4 linked regions of the Tamandua tetradactyla genome follow. The protein of the gene in region 1 purifies or fractionates together with the protein of each later gene. This does not show direct contact. Links are inferred from orthologs where the notes say so. Each region holds a gene or a part of one and is shown in the gene's direction. Other genes may lie near its edges. The genes, in order: CSNK1D, FAM83D, PER1 and AKAP9.

Evidence for each region.
Region 2: the proteins of CSNK1D (region 1) and FAM83D purify together in Homo sapiens (affinity purification with mass spectrometry; 4 studies listed by BioGRID and IntAct, counting the BioPlex papers as one, with this or other methods). This does not show direct contact. The link is inferred for Tamandua tetradactyla from reciprocal best matches to the Homo sapiens genes CSNK1D and FAM83D.
Region 3: the proteins of CSNK1D (region 1) and PER1 purify together in Homo sapiens (affinity purification with mass spectrometry; 4 studies listed by BioGRID and IntAct, counting the BioPlex papers as one, with this or other methods). This does not show direct contact. The link is inferred for Tamandua tetradactyla from reciprocal best matches to the Homo sapiens genes CSNK1D and PER1.
Region 4: the proteins of CSNK1D (region 1) and AKAP9 purify together in Homo sapiens (affinity purification with mass spectrometry; 4 studies listed by BioGRID and IntAct, counting the BioPlex papers as one, with this or other methods). This does not show direct contact. The link is inferred for Tamandua tetradactyla from reciprocal best matches to the Homo sapiens genes CSNK1D and AKAP9.

The regions. Positions count from the first base shown.
Region 1 is NC_135332.1:74,589,893-74,596,742, reverse strand, and holds the start of CSNK1D (casein kinase I), read left to right. Parts: upstream 1-3,842; 5' UTR 3,843-3,901; coding exon 3,902-3,977; intron 3,978-6,850. UniProt on the Homo sapiens protein: Essential serine/threonine-protein kinase that regulates diverse cellular growth and survival processes including Wnt signaling, DNA repair and circadian rhythms. It can phosphorylate a large number of proteins.
Region 2 is NC_135327.1:13,074,429-13,081,825, reverse strand, and holds the start of FAM83D (protein FAM83D), read left to right. Parts: upstream 1-4,380; 5' UTR 4,381-4,433; coding exon 4,434-4,910; intron 4,911-7,397.
Region 3 is NC_135332.1:61,966,574-61,973,465, reverse strand, and holds the start of PER1 (period circadian protein homolog 1), read left to right. Parts: upstream 1-3,872; 5' UTR 3,873-4,415; coding exon 4,416-4,587; intron 4,588-4,702; coding exon 4,703-5,120; intron 5,121-5,232; coding exon 5,233-5,331; intron 5,332-5,424; coding exon 5,425-5,579; intron 5,580-5,674; coding exon 5,675-5,796; intron 5,797-5,892; coding exon 5,893-6,094; intron 6,095-6,236; coding exon 6,237-6,288; intron 6,289-6,432; coding exon 6,433-6,575; intron 6,576-6,892. UniProt on the Homo sapiens protein: Transcriptional repressor which forms a core component of the circadian clock.
Region 4 is NC_135327.1:124,513,757-124,521,322, reverse strand, and holds the start of AKAP9 (A-kinase anchor protein 9), read left to right. Parts: upstream 1-4,566; 5' UTR 4,567-4,882; coding exon 4,883-4,930; intron 4,931-7,566. UniProt on the Homo sapiens protein: Scaffolding protein that assembles several protein kinases and phosphatases on the centrosome and Golgi apparatus. Required to maintain the integrity of the Golgi apparatus. Required for microtubule nucleation at the cis-side of the Golgi apparatus.

The DNA.
Region 1 (6,850 bases):
AAAAAATCCTCAATAGCCACATGTGGCTGGCGGCCACCGTGCTGGGCTGCAGGGCTCTAGAGGGTGGAGGATGGGGGTGCAGACTCACTTCCACTGCCCTCCTAGTGTGGGTTCAGGGCACACACCTCTGCCCAGCTACTCAGAGGGAGTGTAGGGGGTGCACGGCCAGGGCCTGCAGGCTGTGGCTCCCATGTGGCCTCTGCTGAACCCCGGCCTCCCATAATGCCCCACCCCCTGCAATCCCAGTCCCCGCAACCCCCGCCCCCTGCAACCCAGCCCCCCAGCAACCCCAGCCATCGCAACCCCAGCCTGCAACCCAGCCTTCTCTCAGTTCTCCCTGGTCAGCAGCTGGGTGCTAGCAAGGCCCTGCCGCATGCACAAACGCACATGCACACACTTGTGTGTATGCACATACACATGCACATATGCATGCACACGGATGTGCACACACACACACTGCCTTTCAGCCTGGAGATCTTTCAGGTCCCACCCCAGGCCTCCAGACTGGCTCCCCATCCCCTTGCACAGATCTCGGGGAGGGTCACTGCCCCGTGCACGCCCCACCCCACAGCCGGCTCCAGTTGGCAGCTGCCCATATGAAGCATGGTCTGCTTGTCCGGCCTCACACAGCCCTCCCCGTCGCACTCCCCCTGAGGGCCCAGCCCTAAGCCTGGAGAACGAGGGTGGGCTTTGACAACAAATGGTCTCCCCGGTGTCTCCAGGGGGCAGGGAAGAGGGAGCTGGGGAGGGGAGAGAAGGGGCTTGGGGGGGACAGCTGCCCACCCTCCTGCTGGAGCACTGAGGAGACCCCAGAATTCGACCCAGCCGCATCTCGGGGCACCCATGGAGGTGGGGTCTGGCAGCTCCGCTCAAAAGGCAGAGACACACCCCGTCCTCATCACCCATGGGGACAAGGCCAGCCCCCAGGCTGCGGGGACACCCATCCCACGGGCCTTCCCTCCCGCTCCGGCCTCCCACCCAGGCCGCCAGCTCCTGTTACCTGGGCTGCACGCCAGGAGCAACTCAGGGGCTGTGCCCCCCAACCCCTCCAGCGCCCATGGTGCTCCCGGACCTGGCTGTGTCAGGAAGGAGGACTGGAGAGCTCCATTGTCTGCTGGGGCAGCTGCCCCCGGATTGGGGAGAAGGTGGTGTGGCCACCGGGCCCAGGAGGGACCTGAGTGCCACAGTCCAAGAGAGGGGGCAGGCGAGGGGGGGCCGAGGGCAGGAGTGCGGCTCAAGGGCCACCGTGTTGGGGGTCCCAAGAGGGAGCCGGGGAGGGTGTCGGGAGCTGGGTTCAGAGCTGTCGTCTGGGACGTGCGCCCACTAGCTGCATCGTCCCTCGGTCGGGCGCCCCTGCCCCTCCAGGACCGGGCAGGGGGTGGGCCTCAAAGGCCCCGAACACTGGAGACCAGACACCCAAACAGATACACGTTCCACAGCTGCAGTCTTACTCACGGTTGTTCACAACTGCCGATGGTGGAAACCGCTCGAGTGCCCATAGGTAAAGGAGGGATAGAAAATGCGGCCCGTGCACACAATACCACTCAGCGGGAGAAGGGACCCACTCGACAGCAAGGATGAGCCTTGCAAACATGAAACAACCTAGAGAGGAAAGGACAGGTACTGTAAATTGCACTTATGTGAACTATCTAGAAAGAGCAAACCCACGGGGAACAGATTAGAGGTTACCAGGAGCAGGGAGGGGACTTGGAGGTTAATGTTTAACGGGTGCAGTTTCACTTGGGGCAATGGAAACGTTCTGGTAATGGATGGGGGTTATTGTTGTACAACACTGTAAATGCAATTGATGTCACTAAATCGAATACTTAAATGGCAATATTCACGTTACATATGTCACCACAATTAAAAATTTAACGAGGACACCCTGGGCAGGGTGCAAGGGGCCTGGCCTGGCCTGAGGTGGCCCTGGGGGGCCTGGGAGGGAGTTTTGGGAGGAAAGTCACAGGCCAGAAATGGCCCCCAGGGCAGGAGGGGCAGGTAAGCCGTGCTGGGGCTGAGACACTGGAAGGCCACCCCGGTTGTCAGGGCAAGGTCTGCCCTTGTAGTTTGGAGCTGGGTGTCCGTCCTCCTCAAGGCCTACTGTGCTGCCCGGTGTGGGCGTCCCTTGGGCCTCCGTGCCTGAGAAGTTGGCAGGGCCAGGCCCAGCACTGCTAACACAGTGCTTCTGCAGTGGGTGATCGGGGCTGGCTTGCTGGGTCACACAGGGCAATAGCAGAGTGGGCTGACCAACCGAGCTCCAGAGCCTGCTCCTGTTTTCCAGCAGCGTCAACAAATAGAACAAGGAGAGGGTGTGGGCATAGAGTGAGCTTGGGTTCCAGAGAGAAGCCCCTGCTCAAGGCCTCCAAGCAGACCTCCCATGCCGGGGTGAGATGCTGGGGAGCAGCTGTCTCCAGCAAAGCCCTGCGAGTCCTGGGGCTGGAAGGGTGTTTCCTCACAGGACAGCAGGGCCCCGGTGGGTCTTGCGTGTGGGGACACGGAGCCGAGGCCCCTGGACCAGGCCCTGGTGGGCAGCTGCCCCTCCCAGGTCTCTCCCACGCTCCCTTGTCAAGGCAACCCCCACATAGGTTGAGTTTCCTGATCAGTTAGGAGAACAAAGTGGAACACCGCAGAGCCCTGGAGCTGAATGTGGCCGGAGGCCCTGGGAGGCCTGGCTACTTGCAGAGAGTGGACCCCAGGCCACCTTATGGTGCCGGCTGAGCAGGTGGCCTTCCCTGGAGGAGCTGCACACTGTTCATCCAACAGACAAGCCAGGCCTGAATTCTCCCAGCAAAGTTCTCTTTACTGGTTTGGCAGCCTTGTCCCTGGATTCCCCATGAGGCTGGCTGCGAGCACCCGGCCTCAGCTGGACCCTTGTGCGCTTGGCTGGGCCACTTAACCCTGGGGAACGACGCCTGCCTCATGCCACAGGATTTCCAGGAGGGGTGCAGAAGCTGGCAATGCAGACGCCGCCCCCCCCCCCCCCCCCCCCGCGCTGAGGGGCCTGGCTGTGACCTTGTGCAGAGAGCCCGGTGGGTTTGGGTACAAACAAACCTTATTCTGCTTTGCACGAACATTCAGACCCCACCCAGATTAGAAACATGCCGACATCGCTCCAGGCCCACTTTCCATTTCAGAGCCCTCTTAGCTTGGACCTGCCACCCTTGCACGGTGACAAAGCGCCAGCCCAGCGCTGGCCTCGCCGCCATACGTCCACCCCAGAATCCTGGGCCCTCTCCCTCGGCCTTCTCTCTGGGTGACCCCTGAGGCGCCCGGCCGTGGCGGGTGGTTCTCCTGCACAGATCTGGGGGGCCTCGGGGCGCAGGTCCTCAAGGCCCATCTCTCTGGCTCCGAGGGAGCCTTTCCAAGTGTGCGCCCCACGCCCATCTACCGGGGGCCGAGGAGGCTTTCCCCGCGCAAGCGCTTGGGGCCGGCCGGGGGGCGAGGGCGGGACGGGCGGGGTGAGGCCCTTAAGGGTCGCGAGGAGGCCGCGCCCCGCCCCGCCCCGCCCCGCCCCGGAGCTCTCGCCCCGCCCCCAGCGGCGCGGCCCCGCCCAGCAGGGGGTTGCTAGGGGAAGTGACGTCACAGCGCGATGGCGGCGGCTCCTTTAGGCAGCTGGTGTGGGATTTAGGCCCGGAAGATCCGAGTCCATCCGCGACGGGGAGAGGGCAAGTGGGGCTGGCGGGGGTCGGACCAGGGTCGGCGACGCTCGGACTGTCCCATCCGCCCCGTATTGAGGCGCTGGGAGCGGCGGGGCGGCCGGAAAGCGATGGTGAAAGCGGGGCTGTGAGGGGGGCGGAGCCGGCAGCCGGACCCGCAGTAGCGGCAGTAGCGGCGCCGCCTCCCCGGAGCGCAGACCCAGGAAGCGGCCGGGAGCGCAGGAGCTAGACGGGCCGCCGCCGCCATGGAGCTCAGAGTCGGTAACAGGTACCGGCTGGGTCGGAAGATCGGCAGCGGCTCCTTCGGAGACATCTATCTCGGTGAGGCCGCGGCGCTCCCTCGGGCAACCCCTGCCGCGCGCCCCTCCCCCAGCCCCGGACCGACCCCCTCCCTAGCCGACTCCGCAACCCCGGCCCCTGAGGACGGCGGCGGGCGCGGGAGTCTGGGCGCCGGGACCTCCGCCCCGTGTCGAGGCTGGCTGCACACGGCTTCGAGAGCCGCAACTCAGCCCCAACCAGAGCTGCGGGACAGGACCCGCCGGGGGCAGCTGGGAGGAAGCTGGGGGCTGCAGGGGAGGTCCGGCCCGCAAGCCTGGGCCGCGCCCCGTCCGCTGCCCGGAGTCCGAGCAGGCCCCGCCGGAAGTGGGGGCCCGGGGGACGGTGAGCTCGAGATGGGCTCCCCTGGAAGCCCCCATTGTACGATGTGCCGCTGCCGTGCGTAAACTGCCAAAACTCGGCCCGGGAGGCCAGGCTCGGTTTCTCTGACCGTTGCGGCCTTTTAGGAGGGCGTCCGGTCGTCATGTCACCCACAAGGAAACCCAGGCCGGGGCTCTTTGCTCTGCAGTCCTGTCCGGGCCTGGTACCCGTGGCTCCCCCTCGCCAGGCTCGGCCCTTGTCAAAACCACGGGACTGCGGTGTGCAAGTGGAGGGTGCCCCGTGGGCAAGGGGAGCTGGGTCTGGGCTCAGCTTCCTCATTCCCCAGGTGCCTGCACCTGGCCGGGTGGATTCCTTCTGGACTGTGACCTTGGTCCAGCCGGAAGACCTAGGAGGAGGGCCTTTCTGTCCCTGAAGAAGACTGGCAGGTGTTGAGTAGGACGTGTGCGCCTGCAGGGCCTGTGTTTGTGCAGGTCCTCAGCTGCTGCTGCTAAGCTCTGTGCTTGACCAGAGCAGGCAAAGCTGGGTGGTCACCATGTTGGCAGAATAGAGGCCGATAAGGCTGTGGGAAAGGCCTACCCGAGTTTTTCTCTTTGGGTAGATTTGGAAGATGTTTGGGCTTAGAATATTCTGGGTCATTTCACATTTAGAGCGAGAGAAATATGCTCACATGTACACATAGGTGTGATATAAGATCGGCTTGAATCTTGAAGTTGAGAAGTTTGAACTTACGGTCCTTTCCTACTCTTTTGGGGAAGAATTGTGTTATGTGTATGTTATTCCAGACCCGCTGAACTTGAGACGGTCCAGCCTGGCCCGCAGCAAGTTGCAGAGAGATAGTTGCGTAAGTGTAGAGGTTGAAGAGCCCCGTGGTGGTGTTGCTGTTTGGCTGGTGTTCCTGTTAGAGTCAGGAGCTGCTGTACCTTCCATGACGCCTTTTACATTATCTCAGTGTGGGCTCCTCCCCCTCCCTCCGTCTTTTCACTTGAGAATAGAGGACAAGGGGCTTGGGGGGGGCCTGTTAAAAGGAACTTTCCTTACAGCTTTTGGGGCCTGGGTGACCTGCAGGATAACCCATCAGGGGTATAGTGATGACTTTGACTCTGGTCTTTCTGGCCTGCTGAGTATAATAGGCCTGAGAGACATTTGGGTTTTACCATTTAAATATTTATATCCAAGAAGTCAGTCTGGTCGTTCTCAGCAAGGCGTTGGGAGGCGAAGGGCTAGATAAATGCAAGCTGTTTGGCTTATTTATAGAACAGTAAATTTTGGCAAAAGTCTTAACCTCGGGATCTAGGAGCTCTGCTGAAAAGCCAGTCCATTAGATGTTGAAACTTTTTGCCAGGTGAGACCTGGTGAAAATGGCTTTGTGCTTTGGGAAGCTGGGTCCTGACAGTCGGGTGGTATTCTGGTTTCAAGAGGTCGTTCACCAGGATGGAAGCTCTTCTCTTCAAGTGGGGAGCTTAGTGGGGGTCCCGTTCATCCTGGAGGCCTTGCCTCGCCCTGGCCCCATTGCAGGTCCTGCGTGCGCAGCTGACCCACCTGCTCCGCAAGAAGGGGACTGGCACTCAGGTCCTTCTCTTGGCACCCACACCGCCTATTGTCGGGGCACACTAATCATTGGTGTGGGATTGGTCATGATGACTCCCCCCCAGTCAGCATTGGCTTTGGGTCCACCCTTAGTACTCAGGCTACACACTTCCCCACCATGGAAATGTGGTGGTCTTGTAAGCTTGAGTGCTTATGTGGCTGGGAGGGCAGGCCCAAGTACATCCATCGTGTGCGGGGCTTGGGCGTCCACAGGCTACATGCAGTTGCCGAACTACAGCTCCTTCCATTAGTGTAGGCAGTGAACTGGGTCCTGTTCTTGAAAATCTGGTCCTACATATCCTGGTGTGATTAATGATTAAAATCCTTCCTACTGTCATTCCTTTGAAGTTAGTCAGAAACTTGACTCCTCTAAGTACGGCTCACGTTTTCATGAGATTGGCTTGCTGGGATTTTGGATTTTACCTGGGACTTTATATGTTTTCTGATGTTTGAAATGGGATGGGGGGGCTTCAGTTTGCAGAACGCTTCAGGGCCCGTGAAGACCCAGTGGCCTGCTGTGCTTAGTTACTCATGAGGGCCTTGGCTGGTTGTCATCTGAGTCCTTCTAAAGCTTTATAACAGAAAATCGCTCCATCAGAAGGGGCAGTATCTGGGACTATTTCTTCAACTCCCAGGCTTCAGGCAGTCTGCTTATTAGACCTGGGACTTCCCTCCCTCTCAGCCTGCTAGCAGAGCTGGTGGGAAAGACTTCCCAGACCCAGCTACCTGTGTGGCCTGCCCTCAGAGTCCACACCTTGCCATCATCGGCTGCTTATGGGAAAGATGTTTAGGGGGAAAAAGGCTGGTATTGCTAACATGAACCATGCTTTCCAACCTCCAGTGGATGAGTGTGAACACGTGGTGGGCAGTCCAGGCGGGGTCACTTCTCTTCAGCCAGGGCTGACAGAGCCCCTGTCAGACATGAGCGCAGGAGACGAGACGCAGGGCAA
Region 2 (7,397 bases), on another chromosome or scaffold:
TCACCCCAGCCTATGGCTGATCCTGTGTGTCAGGTGATCCAAGACACACACACCTTTGGCTTTAAAGCAGTATTCAGCCCAGCTGACACTGAAATTCCCCTTGAGCCAACTGGGCTGCACGGTGGGTGTGCTTAGGGAAGCCACATGTTTTCAGGTGAGAGCTGGGCAGGTTTTCAGATCTGTTCGGTCAGATGCCAGCGACCAAAGGCATTTGTAACTCACCATGAGCCCTCTGGCACTCCTCCTCCCCTCTGGCTTCCTGCCTTCTGGGCTGTTCTTCTTCCACCTGGAAGATTGGAAATACCGGCTGGTTGGAAATACTGGCTTGAGCCAACTTCAGATACATCACCAGGCTGTGCTTTGAGTCAGGAATAAAGCATTCTCTTTTAGGGCTTCAGGTACCTGGGAGCTCTCCCTGTAGGTCTCCTAGGTATTGGGTGGGGGCGGGGGGGGGGGGCAAGCTGGGGCACAACCTTGGGGCTGTGATCACTCATTTATTCATTCATGCAATGTATTGAGTAGCTGTGAGGTGCCAGGCATTGCAGTAGGTTCTGGGGACAAAGGATGAACAAGACAGTGAGGAGAACTGTTCTTTACAGTGTTTGTCCCTTAGGACCAGCCCATTCAATTCATCTTAGCAGATGATCACATCCTGGTCCAACATCCCTCAACTTGTCAGCTCCTAGAATCCCCAGATTTGAATCCCTTTAGCTGGGAAACAGCTACCATGGCCTCTCATGGATGACATGTGCCACCAAGCGCAGATGCCAGGTCTTGGGTTCCAGGTAAGACACCATCCCATGTCCACCTTGGGATGGCCAGCATCTTTGGGGAAATGGCCTGATAGGGTGTGAGGTCGGCATTTGGATGAATCAGGAAGCTGGACTTTGCTGCCAAATGCATCTCAGGTTCTTAAAGCCTTTGTCTCTTGCTAGTTTTATTTAGTCACTCCTCAGTCCCTCAGAAACTGGGAAGTTAAACGGGCTTCACTTTTAAGCATTGGAGCTTTTCCTCTTGGATCAGCCTCTCTCCCTGCCAGGTGTGGCTCAGGGAACTGGGAGAAGGCTGGCAGGGTTGACCAGATGCCCAGCTCCTGCTGACCCAGGTCTGGTGGCAAATCCTGGCAGATTAAAGGAGGCCGCTTCTGAACCAGGTGCCACATTGCGCACCTGGAGCGACTGGTGTGCTCTGGCTCCTGCTCCTACCCTATGCCCCAAACAATTGAAAATTGGTGACTGACAGCAGATTGTAAGTTTCTGGCCACTAGCTCAAGGAAGCTGAACTGAACCCTAGGCCCAGCTCTGCTGAGGACTTCAGGGTTGTCCATCACATGTGCAGCACTCATAGAACTGTTCTGCACCATTTAATCAACTTCAAGGGGCTTAGAAAAGTAAACAAGGGTGTGCCCTCTTCCCCACCCTCATTTTCTAGCTTTGTAATAACATGAGATCATCTTGGTTACTGGTGTCGGCTACCTTTTGATCTTGAGCACTCTCTCCCACCTGCTTTCCCAGAGCAGGATCCCTGGGTACTTTCCAAAAGGGTGCTCCTTACAAGATGCCCAGAAGGACTTGCATTAACTCCTGCTATTCCTAGCATGAGGGCAGCCTCTCCCCTCCCAGGGCTCAGAAGAAAAAAGGGGCCCGTGGTCAGTGGATGACTCCACAGAAGTGACCCCCCTCCTTGCCAGAAGCTGTGGCCCCCTCCTCAACAGGAGTCTCTTGCTGGCCAGAGGGCCTGCTTCCCACGGGCACTGCAAGTGCCATAGCGGGGGGGCCTGGCTCTGCACACCCAGGAAAAGTCTGCAGACCCCCAGCCCTCCGCAATAACTCACCAGACCAGAAGCCACTGATGTACAGAGAACACTTAACAAAAATGTATTTTATGTGAAAAAAAAAAAAAGATAAAACTCTGTATACTGTATCAGCAGCTTTGTGTAAAAAATGGCAATCAAGAGAGTCTAATATATTTAAAAACTTTTTTAAAAAACTCCTCGCGGATCTTTGATATTGTATTGAAGTAACTTCGGGGTAGCTCCTCGCCGCGCGGCAGTGGCGAGCCTCGTGTCCGAGACCGTGGTTCAGCCACATCCCAGAGGGGCTTGTCCCCGGGGCAGCCTCCAGCTGCCAAGGCCTGTGACGAATTCGCTGTTAAGAGTTTTTAATTAAGATTATTAAATTCCTTTTAATAACACCTGCGAATGTGACTGTGGTCATTGTGAGCTCACTTGGACTGCGTTGACCTGAACTCAAAGGGGAGGTACCTGAGACAGAGGGTGGGTGAGGGCTCCCAGTTCCTGTCCCCCAACACAAAGGGCTCCTCCAGAAGATGAAAGGGGACTCCGGGGACTCAGACCTGGAGCGGATGTCTTGCTAGGCTGGGAGACGGTGGAACCTGATGAATTCAAGAAAAGGTCTATGGTTGGGAATGACCTTCACTTTGTCAAATATTCCCCTTGGAGTTAATGTGGGGCCAGGTAACAACTCCTATAGACACCCCAACTTCTCAAATGTTTGCCTCATGACATATTTAGATGGAGCTGGGGTGACCCTCTTCTCTGTTTCCTTCTTGGAGTGCACTGACTTGTCCTGTCCCCCCTGCCCTTCCCATACGGCTTATAGCAGAGAAGTAAACTACTGCATAGTACCTCATCTTGCTACAGTAGAGCAGGCAAGATCCAGGTTATTCTTATTTTATGCCTGAGGCAATAGAAGCGTAGACTAGCTATGTGGTTGCAGAGCCCCAGCCCACAGCCCCTGTCAAGAGCAGAAGGTTACTGGTGTCTTGGGGGAGGAGGGAAATGGTGCCCTCTTGTAGCCTTCTGGATGCTGGAAGCCTGAGCAGCCCACACAGAAGGGCCCACTCTGGGGTTTTAAAAACTTATACACAGGCTGGGGATGGAGAGAGAAGGAGATGTGTCTTAGCAGCAGCTGACATTCATTCATTTAAAAAGTTTATTGGCTGCTAAGTAATAAATGGTAACCTCTCACATAGAAAGCACTTTACAGTTTCCCCTATGTTCTCTCATTTACGTAAGGAAGATGAGGCCTGCAAATTGACTATTGGATTTAGCAACGTGGAGCTCACTGGTGAGCTTCACAAGAAATTTTGGTTTAGGGTGATTGAGAGTATAGGCTGACTGTAGAGAGTTTAAGAAAGAACTGGGGGGAAATTGAAGACAGCAAATGTAGACAACTCTTAAAGTTTTATGCTGTGAAAGTGAGCAGGGAAATGGGGAGATACCTCTAGAGGAAGGTAGGTTGTTTAACCCTCAACAACAAGGAGGGTTGTTTAAAGATGAAAAATAGTTCAGCATGTTTGCATGCTGATAGAAATGAGCCAGTAAAGGAGGGACACTGGTGATCCACGAGAGAGGAGAGAATCGCAAGACTGATGGGTTAGTAGCAGAGAGGCTGGAAGCTAGTGCCTAGGATAAGGATTGACCCTGGGCTCGAGAGCAGTTCATCGGTGGTGACAAGGGAGGAGTATGGGGGCGGAGGTGCAGACAGGGAGGTATATGTGGCGGGGCGTGTGGCCGTTCTCTTCTGTTTGTACTTTCTGGGGAAAACAGGGAGCAGGAGCTCCTGTGCGAAGGAGGAGAGGAACCAAGTTAACGAAGAGGAAAACGGAGGCTAGCAGGCAGCCTCCAGGGCCCACTTGGGATCGTGAATTTCCAATGCAGTTGTGTTTCGTGCGGCAATGTCTGGCTGCCCGGGTGCAGGTGGCAAGTAAGCACAGCGCGGGGCTCGACCAGGCTTGGGGTTTTGCCAACAAGGTACGTGAGGGTGTAATCAAAGGAATGGGTACTATGCCAGACCAATCTTTTTTCTGAACGAATAAATAAATGATCAACTGAAGGGACAAGAGCAACATGGTGGGTCACACGCAAGCTCTGAGGGCCTAGGAGCAGCAGCGCCTCGGCGTGCCCAGACACCCCGCCGACAGCTGACTGCGCGGGCGGGGAGACCCGGGCTGCGGGGCGGCCGGCAGGGGGCGCGCTGGGGCGGCCGGGGACCGAGTCCTTGGGCCTCAGGGAAGTCTTCGCGCCCCTCGTTGCCGCCCAGGCCCCCTCGGCTCCACCCTTCCTTCTCTCTGGCTCCCCGCGATGCGCGCTGCTACCCGCGAAGCCAGTAGGAGCCGCTGGGTCCGCGGTGATGTACAATTTCCGAATTTAAATCCCGCGTAGCAACCGGGCCACAAGCGCAGGGGTGGCAGCTACTCGTAGCCAATGCAGAGGTGCGGGGTCCGACCGGGCGCACCTCGAGGGGCGGGGCCGTGGCGGCGCATGCCCAGCCCCAACTCCGCGCAGCCAATGGGAAAGCCAGGGCGGGGCCACGCCGCCAATGGCGCGGGCCAGTTTGATTCAAAGCTGCGTATAAAAGCGGACGTGCGCTGCTCCAACTTGTGGAGCGTGGTCCCCTCGGAGCGCCGCTATGGCGATGCTGCTGGACATCCTGGACGAGGTGCCCGCCGCCTGCCTGTCGCCGTGCGGGCCGCCCAACCCGGCCGAGCTGTACAGCGAGGCGCAGCGCCTGGCGCTGGAGGAGCTGGTGGCCGGCGGCCCCGACGCCTTCGCGGCTTTCCTGCGTCGCGAGTGCCTGGGCCGCTTTCTGAACCCGGACGAGGTGCACGCCATCCTGCGCTCGGTCGAGCGGCCAGGAGAGCAGGGCGCGGCGGCGGGGGGCGAGGACTCCTTCGGCTCGTCGCACGACTGTTCGTCCGGCACGTACTTCCCGGAGCAGTCGGACCTGGAGCCGCCGCTGCTGGAGCTCGGCTGGCCCAGTTTCTACCAGGGCGCCTACCGCGGCGCCACTCGGGTCGAGGCGCACTTTCAGCCCCGCGGCATCGGCGCCGGCGGCCCCTATGGCTGCAAGGACGCCCTACGACAGCAGCTCCGCTCGGCGCGAGAGGTGAGCGGCCTGGTCCGGCCAGGCCCCTCGGGTCCTTCTGGGCCCCGGGACGGACTGGAGACCTTCCCCAGTAATGGGAAAGGGAGATGTGTTGGGAGTGCTGGCCGAGCCCCACGACGTCCTCTGCACCCTACCCTAATCGTGGGTCGGGTGATCCCGTAGTCCTCGATTTCCCCACTTGCGTGTGATCCCCCCGGATCCCAGATTCCCGGGCCGCTCCGTGTGGCAGCGGGGAAAGGGAGGCGCCTCGTTCCCCAGGGATGCGAATTGGGCCTGGCGGCGGCACCGCCCTCGCCTTCCCCAACCGGTGTTCCTCTCCTCAGGCACCAACTGCCAGCACCATCTGGCCTGGAGGAGGGGCCAGAAATGCTCACAGCTCCAGATTTCAGTTCCAGTCAGCCCGCCGATTTTTCTGGTTGTCAGCCAACTTTCAGGGTTGATCCCACCTACAGGAGTTCATTACCTAGGGAAAGGTTCTGGAAGGGTAACTGTCCCCAGAAACAATGGTGAGGCATTAGGAATCAATTGCTAGTCGAATCTGCTTGCCTTATATCGTAGAAAGCAAACAAATAGGAAAGTGGCAAGGCGGAGAGCCCTGTTCTTTTCCCACCTGCTACAGACCTCGGGGGGATGGATGGGGTGTGGCTGCCCCAGTCTGAAGAGTGTAGACACCCTGCTTTGGGTGGGCCTCACTATTCAGTGGGGACTGGTCCTGTTGTATCACTCAGCTTGGTATGGTATTGGGGTGTGTTGAGGGGGGAGGTATCATACTTATCTGCCAGCTAGGATGAGGCTGCAGCAGGGTGCTGGGCACCTGGGAATCTGGGAGGAAGACCGGAGTGCATGAGATGAGTGGGGTAGGTGGGGGTGACAGCAGGCCCCCTCCTCAGTCCAAGGCCATGGTCAGCTGCTACATTGCTTGCTGACTGGTCTGCGCAGCTCCCTGGCTAGATGTCTGCCTGTGCCAAGGCCGTGGCAAGCCTTGGTAGGGCTGGGATCTGAGTGTGCTCACCAGGTTAAACCATCTGTGCAGCTTGTCTTATGGAACCAGCCCCGACTTGCACCAGGGTTCGTTACCTGTTGGTGGAGTCAGAAGTTGTAGTGGATGGAGTGAGCTAGTGCCAGCCTTGTGGTTTGTTGAGTGTGCTGAAGGCCCTTTTGATGCAATAGACACCTTACTTACTGGCTCATTAAAAAGATGGAAAAAGGCAGAATTGTGGCGTACATGTGCATTCCCAAAGCTTACCTTTAATTGGGGAACTTGAGCACTTGAAATTTGAGAAGAGTGTTGAATGGGTCTTCAGGGCAGAGAGAGAGGTGGGTTACTCTAACCTCTGGCCCAGCCCCCTGTTTTGTTGGTAGTGAAGGGGCCCTGGAGCTAGAGGCTCCTGGGAGAACCATTCTGGAACTTCGTGTGCTGGCCTTAGAAGGGGATTGAGGCTGGAGCTCAGATCCTCCCTCATGCTGTGGGCATTCTGTAATACACACTGCGACCTTTCCATTCCTGGGTAAAAACCTGCCCCATGACTTGCCCCTCTGTCCGGTGGCCCTAGTCCAGTTGTGTACTCAACTCTCCGACAGTCTGCATTTGGAACCTGGGTAATTTTAGCTGAGAAAGGTGGTAAGTTACTGTCTTAGTTTGCCAGAGCTATGTCACAAATACCACGAGGTAGTTTTGGCTTAAACAACAGGAATTTATTGGCTCATGGTTTTGAGGCTACAAATCCCAAGTCAAGATATTAGTAATACTTGCTTTCTGCCCCAAATCTCTGGCATTCTGGTGCTGGCTGCCAGCAATCTTTGGGTTTCTCTGGCTTTCGTCTTTGCCTCCTGTCACATGGCAACATCCTCTCCTTTCTAGCTTCTGTGACTTCTGGGTTCTGTTGTAAAGCGTCCAGTGATCTGGATTAAGACCCACCCTTGTTCAGTTGGCCACACCTTAACTAAAACATCTTCTAAAGGTCCTGCTTAAATGGGTTCACACCCAAAGGGATAAGGATTGAGGTTAAGAACATGTGTTTGTTGGGGTTCATCATTCAGTCTACCACAATTACCTTGAAATCCAATGAGTATTTTCAGTGCATGTGCCATCTGCCAAAATTACTTGCTCATTCACCGCCTCCTCCACATCAGGCACCGTGCCAGGGCCTGGGGCAGGGTCCTTGCCTGCACTTGAGAACCTGCCTGCCTGTGGGAAGCCATGAGGGAGGTGGCTGCAGGATCTCTAGAGGGAGGGGGCTGAAGGAAGAAAGCCTCAGCAGCGGTGGTCACCTTGGAGCTGGGTCCAGAACGGAGACCAGTGCACAGCATGGAGGGCCTGGCACGTTTGGGGCCAGCCACGTTCCCCACAGCGGGAGCAGAAAGTGGTAGCAGGAGGCTGAGGGGAAGACGGGAGCTCGGTTGTCAGGGCCTTGCATGGAAGTTTGGACCCGATTCTCTCCGTGATTGAGCTACTGCAGGTTCAGAGGGAGGAAAGGAGCACGATGA
Region 3 (6,892 bases), about 13 Mb from region 1:
GAGTTTGTGCAGATATGGCTGTTCACATGCCTTCCTGAACCCCTGAAGTGGGGAGGTACCAATAAATGCTGTGGTATCTCTCTGTACAAACAACCAGGTCTGTGGAAAAGTGACCTGGGGTCAGGTGGTAGTAGGGGAAAGTGGAGTTCCTAGGAAATCATTTGGGGCTGGTGGCTGCCAGAGTGATTTCGAAGACTTTGTGAACATGTGAAAACTGCGGATTTGATGATTAGAAGGGTGTGGGGAGTACAAATTGAATGTCTTGAGATTGGACCCATGGGGAAGGCGCCACTGGATGAAGTCTGTTCAGGTGCCAAATTTAGAATCTGCTGGATATTTGAGAGGCACAGGTTCCCCAGTGCTGAGAGACAACTTAGAGGCTAGATACCTAGCAGCTTCCTGGAGGGTTAAGAGGATTAACATATTATGAGACATACAATTTAGGCAAGTAAGCCTTAGTCTAAGCCTTAATCATTCCCCACAGAGTGCTGATAACAATGCCTGTCTCACAGAGTTGTTCTAGGGCCCCTAATCTCCTTCTAACAAAACAACAGCAACAGGGTGAGAGATTTCTGTGAATGCCATGGCCAGAACTAGGGATTTACATTCCCAAGTTTTTGGTGCTTCCCTCCCCACTTACTTCTCTCTGATCCTTCTGGTCCTCAGAGAGCAGCCCATGTTCCCTCCTCCCTCCCTTCTATCCCTTTCCCAGACCCAGACCCCAAGTGGGGTCAATTGTCCTGTCCTTGTCTGATTTCTTCATCTCAGGCCCATTCTTCTCTCTACCCCTCCTCCCTTCTTCTCTGCTGTCATAGTAACAAAAGTTTCAGGCTCTGGAGGAAAAACTCTGGGAGGGAGCAAAGGTGCCTGTTCTCTCCCAGAACTTGGGCCTCCAACTTCCCCGCCCTGGCTTTTTGGTACCGGGCCAGCAGATGTGTATAGCTTGGATCGGCGGGAGGAGAGTCAGTGCCAAGAGCTGTAGGAACAAGACGAAGGGAGGGTGCACATGAGACCCAAGAAGAGGACCAGGCATTGGGGAGGGGGGTCACCCCTGCTTCCTAATTCTCTCTCCAGGAATTCCTGGCTTTGGGATAGGACGGCTGTCGTTGGGCTGGGGAGGCGCCCCGGGCTGGGTGCATGTCCTGGGACGCCAGCCAGGAGAACATGATGTTCCCAAGTGCGCCGGCCGCCGCCCAAACCGCTGCCTTTCCAGCCTCCCTGCCCCACATTCCCCGGCTGCCTCGCCCCGCCCCCTTCCTCCGCTTTGACGTCACCGCTCTCTCCCGCCCCCTCTCCTCCATTGACGGCAGCAGGGCCTGGTTACTGTGGGGACCGCAAGGCTGAACGACCTGGGCCTGAAAAGCAGGTGGGGGCTGTTAGAACGCTGCACTCCTTTGTCTTTGCAAAAGATAGGCATTGAGGGGACTTCGGAGAGCAAAGAACTGCCTGGATCAGGGGAGACTAAGGGGAAGTTGGGGAAAGGAGATCGCATCGACATCCCTGAGGAAGAAGAAAAAGGTTGTTTACCGAGAAGATGTGTTTGAAACTGAGACCAGGGACACAGCCACGATTGAGAGGGAGCGGAAGTCTGTGACTTGGGGGAACACTTTCAAGGAGAAGGAACTGAGCATTCAGGCCCCTGAATCCTTTGTTTTCTGTGCTTTCCTCCTTTGGTTTTTCTGGGTTATTTTATAACATCCCTGTGTCCCAGCTTTTCCAGTGAACCATCCCCCCGCCCCCACCATGGGGAACACTATTGTTCAGGAAAGCTTAGGCCATGTGACAATGAAGGGACTGCACCCACAGCTGATTATGTCAGCAAAGCAGCCTGGGTGGCCTCTTCACTTGCTACCCACGTTTCTTGGAAGCCAGCCCTGAGAGATACTACTCATTACAGCATTGGAAATTAGATGGAGGGGCCTGGCAGTTTCCCAAATCAGGCCTTGTTCTCTTTCTAAGATCCCACCCCCACCCCCTTAATAAATTATAACTGCCAGTTTCTCCATTGCTGAGGCTCAGTCATTGCATTCCTGCTCCTTACCCCCACTGCTCTGTCTCCTTATTAACAAAATCAGTACATTTACTAATCACCATACTACAGGTCCTGTCCTGGATGCTGGGGAACGGGGAAATGAGACAGGTGAGGTCCTAGCTAGCTAGGTCCCTGGCTCTTGACTTTCTCTTTCCCTAACAGAATCCTTAGCCCCTGGCAGGGGCTTTCCCTCTGTGGGGACCCAGCTTGTCTCTTCTCTCAGCTGCCCCTTCTGTCCCCCCGTAGTTCTGGCTCCCTGACTCCCACTTTTGGGGCAGCCCTAACTCTGGGTGGTTGCATCCTCAGGAGAGAAGTGCTAGTGGCCACCTAGGTTGTCCCGGAGACCTGTTCTCTGATTAGCCCCAGGAGCCTGCCATTATTTCCTTCACAGCCACTATTGGCTCTGGCCCTTCCATTGTTTTCCTCTTCTTCCCCTCTAGGCATGGCATTTGGACCCTCAAGTGCCCTCCTCCCAGCTGTCCTCAGGATTTTAAGTGTCAGAGGAAGGGGTTGGGTAAAAAGGCATCTTCACATTTTGAAGACCAGGCTAGGAAGCTCGCGAGTGGTGGTGGAGGCAGGAAAGGGGAGGGGGTGGGGGCAGCAAAGGCCTCTCATTCTCCTCTCAGGGAACAGCGTTTTAGTCCACCTTCTGGGGTCTGCATTCTTTCCCCCTTCCCTGACAAGACCAAGGTGTCCTGTCCTGCAAGGCTGGTCAGTTTAGGAAGTAGACGTTTCTTGAGCGCCTACTGTGGGCAAGCATTTTCCCTACAGAGGAACAGCTTACCTCCACTGCCTCCCACCCATTATTCCCTGTGCGAGGCGTCCTGAGCCCATTGGCTGGGCGGTGTCTGGGGCCCTTCAGCCCAGCGCCAGCACCCAGATCCACGTGCGCCCGTGTGTGTGACACAGCCCTGACCTCAGTGGGGGCCGGGAGCCAATCAGGCGCCGGGACGGGATCCCCAGCCAATCGGGGGCGGGGCCTGTGGCTGCGGGCAGGGAGCCAATGAGGGGCCGTGCCTGGCATTATGCAACCCGCCTTTCGGCCCCGCGCAGCTTCCACTTCGCCACCGACTGGAGCGGCGGTGGGCAGGCGGCCGAACGGCGTTCGCGAGGCCAGGTAGGCATCTCCGCAGCCTCCCTGGGCAGGTCGCCGGCCCGGAGCCGGTCCGCCGCCAGTTCCAATCCCATGAGCCGCTTTCATTCCGGGCGCTCACGCGGCACGCAAGTAACCCTTTCTTTTCCGCTGTCCACCGCATCTGTCCCCCGGGACCGCGGTGGCTCTCGCCACCCTTTACTGGGCGGCCGCACGTCCGACCGGTCTACCTTCCTTCCCGCTTTGCCGCCCCGCTCCCAGCCATTCTGGCCTCACACCCGACCCTCTGCGAGCAGGTCCCCTTCCTCCTTTCTTGTCATTCGGGGTCCCCTGTTGTACCCCGGCACCAGGGTGCAGCAGACCCCATCAAGGCTCTCGACGCTCCCCGCTCTCCCCCCTCCAGTCCCTGGCCCCGCGCCGGCCGTGATGTCAGCCGGCTTCGGATTGGAACATCCCGTTCCCGGCGTTAGTTCCTGCTGTTGGCCACAGCCTTCCCTTTTCTCCTGGCGCTCAGAAAATGCACGGGGGGGGGGGGGCGGGGGGGGGGAGGCGGGTGTGTGTTTGTGTGGTGTGGTTGCACGGGGAGCGGAGGGAAAACTATCCGCTGGCTGTTGTGCGTCCATTGCTCAGGGCTCAGTGTGTCTGCTTCGGTTGGGGAGATGGAGGCCAGAAAAGTAGGGGACTCAGGAGGGGATTTCTGGGCTCTTGACGGCAGGTACCGGCTTCGGTCTTGGGGGGCGGGCGGGGTGGGCAGAGGCCGAGGGGAAAGAGAAAGCCTGTGTCGTCTTGACCAGAATGACTGGGACCCAGGCAAGAGCCAGCTTGGGGGGCTTGGCGCAGAAGGCGGTGGCGGTGGGAGCAGCTGTTGTGTTTTCTCCGCGAGGAGCCCTGGGCCAGTCTCTGAAATCCGCTGCGCCGGCCGCCCCTCTTCTTAAGACTGCTGGGCCGTGCGAGGACTGGGGGTGTGTTGGGGGGAGGGGCGACCCCGGGCCGCGACCGCCAGTGTGGGAGTGGGTCGTTCCCCCGCTTCCGCCGGGAAATGGGGGAGGGGACACCCCTCCTGCCTCCCTGTGGTCCCCCCAGCAACCGCTGAGCTCAGCTGCTGACGTCGGTTTCCCTGGCGACCGCGGCGGCGGAAGCGTGTGGTGGGTCCGCGCATGTGCGGTGGAGATAGCGCCGCCCCCCCCAGATAAAATTAGCCGGGAGGCCTAAATATAGGAGGCAAAGGCTCACCCGGGCTCTGCGGAGTTGGACCCGTGGGCAGGGTGGGGGCTAGATGGGGACTCGGGCATGGGAAGTGTCCAGGCTTGGGTCTTCGGCGGTCGACTGCACAGGCTCTACTTGCTCAGGCCGAGGCTTGCAGGGGATGTGAGAGAAGGCCCAAAGGAGGCCCCTTTCCACCTGTGGCTCCTTTCTGCCACAGGAAACGAATCTTCCCTAGGCTCCCAACTGGAAGCCCCAGGTCTGGGATCCAAGAGCTTGAGGACAGGCAGGGGAGGGTCTGAGTGAAGCCAGCCAGTGCTCTGAGGTCAGTACCCCAGTTTTTCCAAGCTCTCCTTCCTGGTTTCCCTCTCCAGGTACTGGCTGTGATCGAACTTCTCAATCCTCAGACTTAGGTCTCCAACCCCACTCCCTCATCCAGGCCTCCAGGCCCCCTGGTGCATCCGTAGTGGCCTCCCCTTCTTCCCTGTTCTCCTCCTGCCCTCCCCATGGCCCAGCTATGAGTGGCCCCCTGGAAGGGGCTGATGGGGGAGGGGACCCCAGGCCTGGAGAACCCTTTTGTAGTGGGAGGGCCCCATCCCCTGGGCCCCCACAGCACCGGCCTTGCCCTGGCCCCAGCCTGGGAGATGACACCGATGCCAACAGCAATGGCTCAAGCGGCAATGAGTCCAATGGGCCCGAGTCCAGGGGTGCCTCTCAGCGGAGTTCACACAGCTCCTCTTCTGGTAATGGCAAGGACTCTGCCCTGCTAGAGACCACTGAGAGCAGCAAAAGGTGTGTATGAATATGGGGTCGAGGGGCTGGGTGTAGTCTTATGAGCAGGTAGAGCTCAGGAATGAACCCTATGCCACTCTCCCCTCATCTTGGGCTTCTTGTTTCTCCCTAGCACCAACTCCCAGAGCCCGTCCCCACCCAGCAGCTCCATTGCCTACAGCCTCCTGAGTGCCAGCTCAGAGCAGGACAACCCATCAACCAGTGGCTGCAGGTGTGTGGGACGAGAGCCAGGGGAGAGGGCTGAGGGTAAGGCCAGGCTACAGAACTCATGCATGTATCTCCTTCCTCCCTGTGGGCCTTACAGCAGTGAACAGTCAGCCCGGGCAAGGACCCAGAAAGAGCTCATGACGGCCCTGCGGGAGCTCAAGCTTCGACTGCCACCAGAGCGCCGGGGCAAGGGCCGTTCTGGGACCCTGGCCACACTCCAGTACGCGCTGGCTTGTGTCAAGCAGGTGCAGGGTGAGTGGTGCTTCCTGGGAGGATAGTGGTCAGATGCTAGGCTGGCCTGGCTGGGATGTCTCCTCAATGCAGGCCCCATGGCCCTCACCCTGCAGCCAACCAGGAATACTACCAGCAGTGGAGCCTGGAGGAGGGCGAGCCATGTGCCATGGACATGTCCACTTACACACTGGAGGAGCTGGAACACATCACATCTGAGTACACGCTTCGCAACCAGGTCTGCAGTGGTTCAGCCTGTCCATTCAGACACACCTGCCACCACCCACACAGCTCCTGAGTCTGTTCTTGATCTCTCCCTGCCCTCCTTGTCTAGGATACCTTCTCGGTGGCCGTCTCCTTCTTGACAGGCCGCATTGTCTACATCTCAGAGCAGGCAGGTGTTCTGCTGCGCTGCAAGCGGGATGTGTTCCGGGATGCCCGTTTCTCAGAGCTCCTGGCTCCCCAGGACGTGGGTGTCTTCTATGGTTCCACTGCCCCATCTCGCCTGCCCACCTGGGGCACTGGGGCCTCAGCAGGTGAGGTGCCTGAGGGCTGAGGGGTAGGTGTCAGGTATGAGCAGGCCCAGGAAGCTTCTATTGGAAGGAATCGGAAAGACAAGGCTTCCCCTTGCTGCAGAGGCCACAGGGCTGAGCTTACTACCTTCCTGGTCTGCCTCAGGTTCAAGCCCCAAGGACTTCACCCAGGAGAAGTCTGTTTTCTGCCGTATCAGGTAGGTGGGGGGTTGTGGGGGACTGGAGTCAGTACCTCTCATCTCTTAATTTCTTTACTGTTTTGTGTGGGCTACAACCCTGAGCATGAAGGGATGGGCAACCCTCCCTTAAAGATTCCTGATCCCTCCTCCCTCCCTTGCCAGAGGAGGTCCTGACCGAGATCCTGGGCCTCGGTACCAGCCATTTCGCCTTACCCCATATGTAACCAAGATCCGGGTCTCAGATGGGGCCCCTGCACAGCCGTGCTGCCTGCTCATTGCAGAGCGCATCCACTCGGGTTATGAAGGTAGGCACATGAGGGGTCTGACCTGCTGGGCTTGGGGTGTAGGCACTTCCTGGGCCTAGGCAGGGGGTGAGGCAGGAAAGGAGTCTTGGAGGTACAACCCAGCCCATTACAATTTTGGAAGAGAAGAAGGTATGCTAAGGATGAGGACTTGGGCCCCCGCAGAATTAGCTATGAGCCTGGGCTAGGAGGAGGCAAAGGAAGGGTGTCTTGGTTCTCAGTTTCCTTACTGGCAAAAGAATGCCCAGCCCATCTTTGTAGGCCATGGGGCCCAGGGTGGAGCTGGGGAGAGGACTGCCAGCCAGCCTGGACCCCAGGCA
Region 4 (7,566 bases), on another chromosome or scaffold:
GAATTAATTGTTTCAGCTCCTGTATGTCATTTGAATTGTTGGTTTGTTCCTTTGATTGGGCCATATCTTCAATTTTCCTAGTGTGATTTGTTTTTTTTTGCTGGCGTCTAGACATTTAATTACCTTAATTAGTTTATTCTGGAGATTGCTTTCACTTCTTTTATCTAGGGTTTTCTTGCTGGATGAATTTGTTGTCTATCTGTTCTTTGACATTCCCTTCAACTTTATTTGGGCCTTTAGCTTAAGTTTTGTTTCACAGAGGAGAATTTTTCAGTTCTTGTTTTCTTGTTTCTCGCCCTGCTTGTGAGGTGCCTTCCCACACACACGCACTTAGGAGGGTCTACTTAGATATTATATACTCCAGCCGGATTTTCCCAGACCAAACTGGCCTACTATCAGGAGGAAAGAATCACTTGTGTCGGTTTTCCCTGAGGGTGAGAACCAGCAGGTTGAAAGACTTTTCTGTGAAGTCTCTGGACTCGGTTTTTCTTATCCCCCCTGTGTGTGGCGCTTGTCTGACTGCAGGTCCCACCAGCATAAGATGATGTGGTACCTTTAACTTTGGCAGACTCTCCCTGCTGGGGGCAGGGTGGAGACAGAGGAGAGGTTGTAGGCTGGTTTTAATGGCTTCAAATTACCAAGCCCAGGTGTCTGAATTCCTTGATGGAGGGATTCCAACTGAGTGGGGCTTCACCGCTCCCCTGGGGAAGGCAAAGACTCCAGACAAGTCCCCAAAAGAGCTCACTTCTGCCTATGCCTGGGCCAGTTGCAGCCTGAAAAGTCCTGCCGCTGTATCCAGAGGCAGTCAAGCCTTTGTAGATACACAGCCACAAAAAGCTCTTTTTCCTTCTTCTTTTTTCACCCCCTTTTTCTGTCAGTCCTGCCCCCTTGGCACCGGGGCAAAAATGAGCAACCTCTGCTTTGATCAGGCTCACCTAAGCTGGGGGCCTATTTTTAGTAGTCAGAATTTGTTAATTAGTTCCACAATTGGCGTTTGATTGTGCCCAGTCCCTGCTGCTGGTAAAGTCCTTTCCTTTTCCCTCTGGGAAGTGGCCTGTGGGGGAGGGGTGCTGGCCACCACAGCTTTGGGAACTCATGGTTCTGGGGGGTGCTCGCAGCCAGTCCAGCTGGTCCAGACTGGGGTATGCTGTGTGTCTGGTCACTGACGTGGCCCCAGGAGCTGTTCTGTACTGTTTCTGGTTATTTAGTAGTTGTTCTGGAGGACGAACTAAAATGTGCACATTGTTAAGCTGCCATCTTGACCCGGAAGTCTCCTGTCATTCCTCCGTCTTTTTTGCTGATTTCTCTTTCCTTCCCTCCCTCAGAGTTGGAGTGCTCCAAAACTCAGTCATTGTATCACTCCTTTATCTAAACTTGCTTCCTAGAGTATGACTGTGCCACATACGCAATTTAAAATTTTCTAGCAGCCACATTAAAAAAATAAAAATAAACTGGTGAAATTAGTATGTATTTACTTAACCCAAAGTATTATCATTGCAACATGTAATGAATATAAAAATATTAATGATATATTTTAAGTTCTGTTTTTAAATGCTAAGTCTTTGAAATCCAGTGTGTATTAAATTTACAGTATATCTCCATTCGGTCTAGTCATATCTTCTTGCTTAGTAGTAACATGTAGATAGTGGCTGCTATATTGGTTAGTGTGGCCCTAGATGATCTCATCCAATCTCTTACCTTAAAATAATATCGATGTTCTGACTCTTCTCAAATTATAACTTGGACCTTTTTCCTATATTCCTGACTCAGATTTCTAAGTATCAACTTATACATCACTTTTTAAATACCTAACATATATCTCCAACTTACAATCTCCAAACTCTTGCTCTCCTCCAAATATGCTCTTCCCCATTTGTTACTGGCATCACTTCAGTTGCTGAGGCCAAAAATGTTGGAGTCAACTTTGACTCCTCCCTGTCATAAACATCACATTCAATATAAAACTCCCGTGACACAATTAGTTCTATATTCAAAAGATATCCAGAATCTGATCACATCTGATCACCTCCACTACCACTACTAGGGTCTAAATCTCTTATCATCTCTTATCTGGGATAATGCAGTAGCAACCAAACTGATCCTCCATAGTCTATCCTCTTCACATGTAGGAAACAAGATAATTGTGTTACAGTGATACACAGCTCAAATATTTAATGAATGGGTTGGGGTTATATAGGATTTGGCATAGATCTAGAGAATGGCAACTAAAATGATCAAATATATTTTAAAAATATCTAAGCGTTTCTAAATCAGATCTATGTATTCAGTATGTGACAGACCTAAGGTCTTTATTTAGTCTCTCCCTTCTTCTTTTCTTTCACCCTTAATTTTCACTTAAAACCAATTCTACAATTGAATTCATGGCCTGTTTTAGTTCATACCTGCTAGTTTTTCAGTCCAATATAGCTCATAACAAAGAAGAAATATGCTTAACCTAAGTAATCAGTCTGAGACCTTAAAATTTATAGTTCACCCTGGAATGAATTTGAAGGTAGGAGACTGGGAAGAAAAAAGAAAGTACTGAGGGAACAGATGAGGGAGGGGAAAGGAAAGAATGTAAAGCTCAATTCACAAACATGGCGCAATTCAATTCAACAAGTATTTAATGGGTGCAAAGTACTGTCATTTTGGTAATGCAAAGATAAAGTATGAGCTTTACTAAGAAGTACATAAATTATTAAAATATAATTAGAATACATAAAGAAAATACAAGGAGAAAGAAAATTGACATTATTTGTGTTCATTTTATTTTTATTTTTTTCCTGTCATTGGCACTTTTATTTAGTTTAGTATATGTAACAAATATATAACAATATGCTCTTTCTTATCATGGGTGGTCTTTTATATAACTAAAAATTGTAGCCAATATTTTATATAATAAAGAAAAACTGTAAATTATCAGAAAAGTAGCAACAATATAGGAGAATCACACATTTTACATAAATTATAGAGGTCATTGACAATGAAAACCCATTACTTAACTCAATTTTATAAAATAAAGTCAATATATATTATTCTGTGAGTTGATAAGACTGCATTTTAAATACTGTGGCCCTTGCAAAAGACTGTAGTCAAAGATGAAATGTTATTTTGATATCATATGTTGTTGTTAGTTGAACTTCCTTTCATGGTCTTCTTTATGTGATGGTACCTTGACAAGATTTTAATCAGGAAATCCAGCTGTAGCGTCTGGGGCTGCGGTAGCTCAGTCTACACCACAGGAAAGCAGTCTGCACCACAGATTACTGTATTCTCAAGGATGACTTCAAGAGTATTGTTTGCAACAAGCCCCAATGATGCACTCATTTATACTACACTTCTGCCTACATATGCTTTTGACTCAGCATTATTATCTCTCATTTTCATGACTTGGGAATAACAGCCAACTTCAAACACATTATTGTACCAATGGCCAGAGGATTGGATTCTGAAATCTCCAGCAAGAGGGGTGATATTATAAGGGTGAGCATTTATAATAAGGGCCTGTCCTTCTATTATGTTCCCTTCACCAATTACTATTGGCCTGGCTCTGCAAAAATTCGTGCTTTAGGGTGGATCACCGTCCTAGGTCCTATAGTTACATCTTCCCTGATTTCACTTTCTACACACACGGCTGCCCCAGGAATGATTTTCATAATTTTTTGAGTCTTCTCTGCTATGGTTTCGCCTGGTCTCCAACAGGAGTCGAGATGGATTTAATCGCCTGGGTAGGTCGATGATTTCCCAGTTGTGTTAGTTTTAATGTGCCAGGGACAGTCACATATATTAATTCGTTTAATCCTAACAACATTTCCAAAAATTCTAGGTGAACAAACTGGAGCTCTGGGAGGATTGGTACCTTGTTGCAAGATCATTAAAACTAGAAAGTGCATAATGGCTTTGTCTCCACCCCTGGGTCTGAAGCTTATGCCCTTTTCTGAACACCATCGCTAAGGGGAAGCTCCAAGGAGGGAGGGAATAGAGTTAGGGGACATAGAGGAATAAGCCATGACTGGAAACATCTCCATTGAGGTGGAGGGAATAATAGACATCAATAAAGCTACTTGGAGGCGACACCTCAGGTGGGCCTTGAAGGACGAATAGGGGCTTGGGCGGGTAACAGTATGGGGAAGGAGGGGCTTTCAGGATAAGGAAGTAATGAGAACAAGCAGCTGCTCTCCTAACTCCTGGAATAGAGTCAGTGCAGGTTGAGAAACTGACTCCCCCTGACCCCCCACTTTTTCCTTTTGGGCTTTTCAGTGCTCTCTAATCTCACCATTAGACATCTTTATTTTTGTAATTAAAAAAAATGTTTTAAAAGCGACCACAGAATTCCTAGAACAGTGAGTGGGGGTCCGACCGGATGCCCCCTGCCCTATCGCCCTTCCTACCCGACCCCTAGTCCGCCCCCACCTGGAAGCTGCGCATCCCGGAGGAAGGACAAGAACCGGCCAAGGCTAGAGGAGCACCCACTCCCTTGGTTCTTAGACTCGAAAGCTGAGAACTGCGTGGACAAGGGTCGCTCCCGAGGTCCCGCGCGCGGTGGGGAGGGGCTGCGGGCGCACCTGCCGAGCCCAGCGGGACTCGCGGCGGCTGCGCGAACAGACGTCCGCATCCCGCTCCCCTGCCCCTCCCCCCAGCCAACCCGCGTTCGGCCTTGTGTTTACGTGGAGACGAAGATGGCGGCGGTGGCGGCGTTCCCTGTGCGGCCGAGGACGACCAGCCAGTGAGCGAGGCAGCTGGTTCGACTGCGGGCGCTGGAAGCCGGGCTCGGCCCTGCTCTCTGGGCCCTGGAGCTTGCCGTCCCACTACGTCTGAACCGACCTTTTCTTTCTACCTCCAATCCCCTCCCTGTCTTCCCCCACCCTGCCCTGCAGAGGCCATGGAGGACGAAGAGAGACAGAAGAAGCTGGAGGCCGGCAAAGCTAAGGTAGGAAAGCCGGAGGCAGCCTGGCCGGCTGTGGGAGGCGGCGGCTGGGGAGGGTGGGAGGGGGCCACGGAAACGGAGATCGTGGTAGCTCTAGTGCGCTACCTTGAAGGGAGGTTCTTACAGACGTCTTTATTTCCCCCTCGCCACCGTCTTTCCAATAGTGAGAAAAGCTTCTAGCAAATGAAACTTCCGCGATGACTGGATCGTATGGCCCTTTTCTTTTTATTGCCCAAATGAAACCCTTCTATTACTGTAGTGCTGCTATAAGCTGATATTTATTAGTCCTTGATCTCCAGTCTTTCACTTTTTTTTAAAGGAGTTTTCTGGGTGGCGCAGGCATTGTTTTCCAGGGTGGGGATTTGGAGCTTTTCTTTATTTGATGGGGGATTTGTGCGCTGATCATCAGCTTGACTTCCTTAGGTGGCACGCTGGCACTCTTGGGTGTGTGTGATTGGCCTCTGTCAGCTGCCACAGCAGTGACTTGAGTGTGCCACACGTGCCAGCTGTGAAGTTCCTTTAGAGGCGTTTTTTAAGCGTGCTTTGTATGTTTGTGTTTGGAGGTCTTTGTCATGGCATGCGCTTTTGTATTGTGTGGAATGTTAATGCATTCCGTGATTGGAGTTCTGGGAACGACAGGTTCCGTATTTTAAGCAACACCTATAGAATCCCTGCTTCAAATACTACCTAATGGTTGATTGTGTATGAATATATATGTGTGTGTGTGTATCGGGTGACTCCTGATTTTATGTGTGTATATGTATGAAAAAGCCTGTAAAGTACACAATACACAGTTATACACAGGTATCTCTCAATTGAGAATTTGACGAAAAATTGGCATAGACAACATATAAATTAAGTAGCATGTTTCTTTTAAAATGTTAACGTTTGAGATTATCTCTTGGCCTTAAAGACGTTCTACAATGAAGTTACCTTTTATAGGTTAGATTCCAATTATCATATCAGAGGTAATTGTTAGCAATCATACTTGATTCATAATTAAATTATAGCTGTTTTTCCTTCCTCCCTGCTCTCCTCCCATATAAATAGACAAAGGAAACTGGGTCAATAATTTGGTAATCAACAAAGGGCCGTATTGCAGAGATGCAGCAGTAGATGGTTAGCCCAAGATTGTTAAATGAATATATATGTACACTAGTTTCATATTCCATAAAATTCCACTTCAGAAGTCAAGGCTTAGGTGCTTGTATGTACCCAGGTAAATTATTGCTTTAAAGTCCATAAATGGGGGAAAGGAAAATGAGGCTATTTTAAGAAGCCCAAAGTCAGTTGCTTACATTTTGTGCAGCCCCGAGGGTCTGAGCAAGCTCTATGCAGCCAAGGAAGTGGAGGTAAAGTGTGCACCCTCTTCCAAAAGTCTCTAAGTAGACAGTTTATATCTTGTCTATTACCTCAGAATTTTTACTGTCTGCTCCAGAAGTATCTTTTCTAACTGTATGTGAAACAGTCCTACAAAATACAGTTTACTTCGGCATAAATTCACTTTGGACATAATAACCCATAATAATTAGGGGATTTATTTAAATTGCTTGCCACATCATTTGATTTGGCAAAATAGAATTCTATTTCTTTGTGTGAATGTGGTTTTTTTGGTGTTTTAAAATTCTACCGATTAGGGTAAAAAATCTTTTTCTTTTAACTTTAACTTTTATTGTAGATTATCCTCTGGAGTTGAGCCCAGTATTTCCATTGAGAAATGAAAGTGTGCGGCATATAAAGCAAGATATATCTGCTGCAGAATTAGCTGTGTAATATAAAAACACTAGAAACAACCTTCAAAGACGACATTAGAAGAATCATTGTCTAAATTATTTAAATGGGATGGCATATTATACAGCCATTAAAATTTTGAACAATGATAGGAATATGGGAAATAGAGTGAAAACAGCACCATTAGAAATAGTGTATATATTCTTATTTCAGTTGTGTAAACATGTAAACTTGTAAATTAGGACTGAAATAACTCTGTGTTATAGTTTTTCAGCAAATCTGTGTTGAACTTCTATGTATACCAAGAGCTGAAACCTGGAGGTGTTTATGTAGGCCCTGCTCTTAGTTTATTGGGAGAGACATACAACTGAATAAAGAATAGAAGAGAGGAGGTAGTAGGATTTTGGGTGATCTTTTTACATTTGTTAAAATATGTTAAATGCTGCTACTTCATCTTTAAGAATATTTTACAAAGATAACTGTTAACATCATACTAATAATGCAGCCTAGATAATGCCTATCAGATAGTAGGTACTTGATAAATATTTGCTTAATGAATGAATGAACAGAATGACTGAGTCATAAATGGTTTCCTAGCATGGTTGTGATTTAATGACAATATTCCAGAGTTCTCTTAATAGAAGTCAGTTTCCTAATGGTTCTCACTTTAGTGTAGTCTTGTAACTGTAATTCTTATCCCTGTGCTGCTTGTATTATATAAAATTAGATTTCTATATTATTAGATATTTATAGATCTTTCTGTTTTTGTAGTTCTCATCCCTCCTTTGCTTTCGTTTCTCATTACTATGGACATGCTCACCTTGTGTTGCTTCTCCTCATCTGTCTTTTCCCCTAATTTGTTGTTTTAGATTTGCTGTAACTAGAGAGTGCAGATAACTGAATTTGAT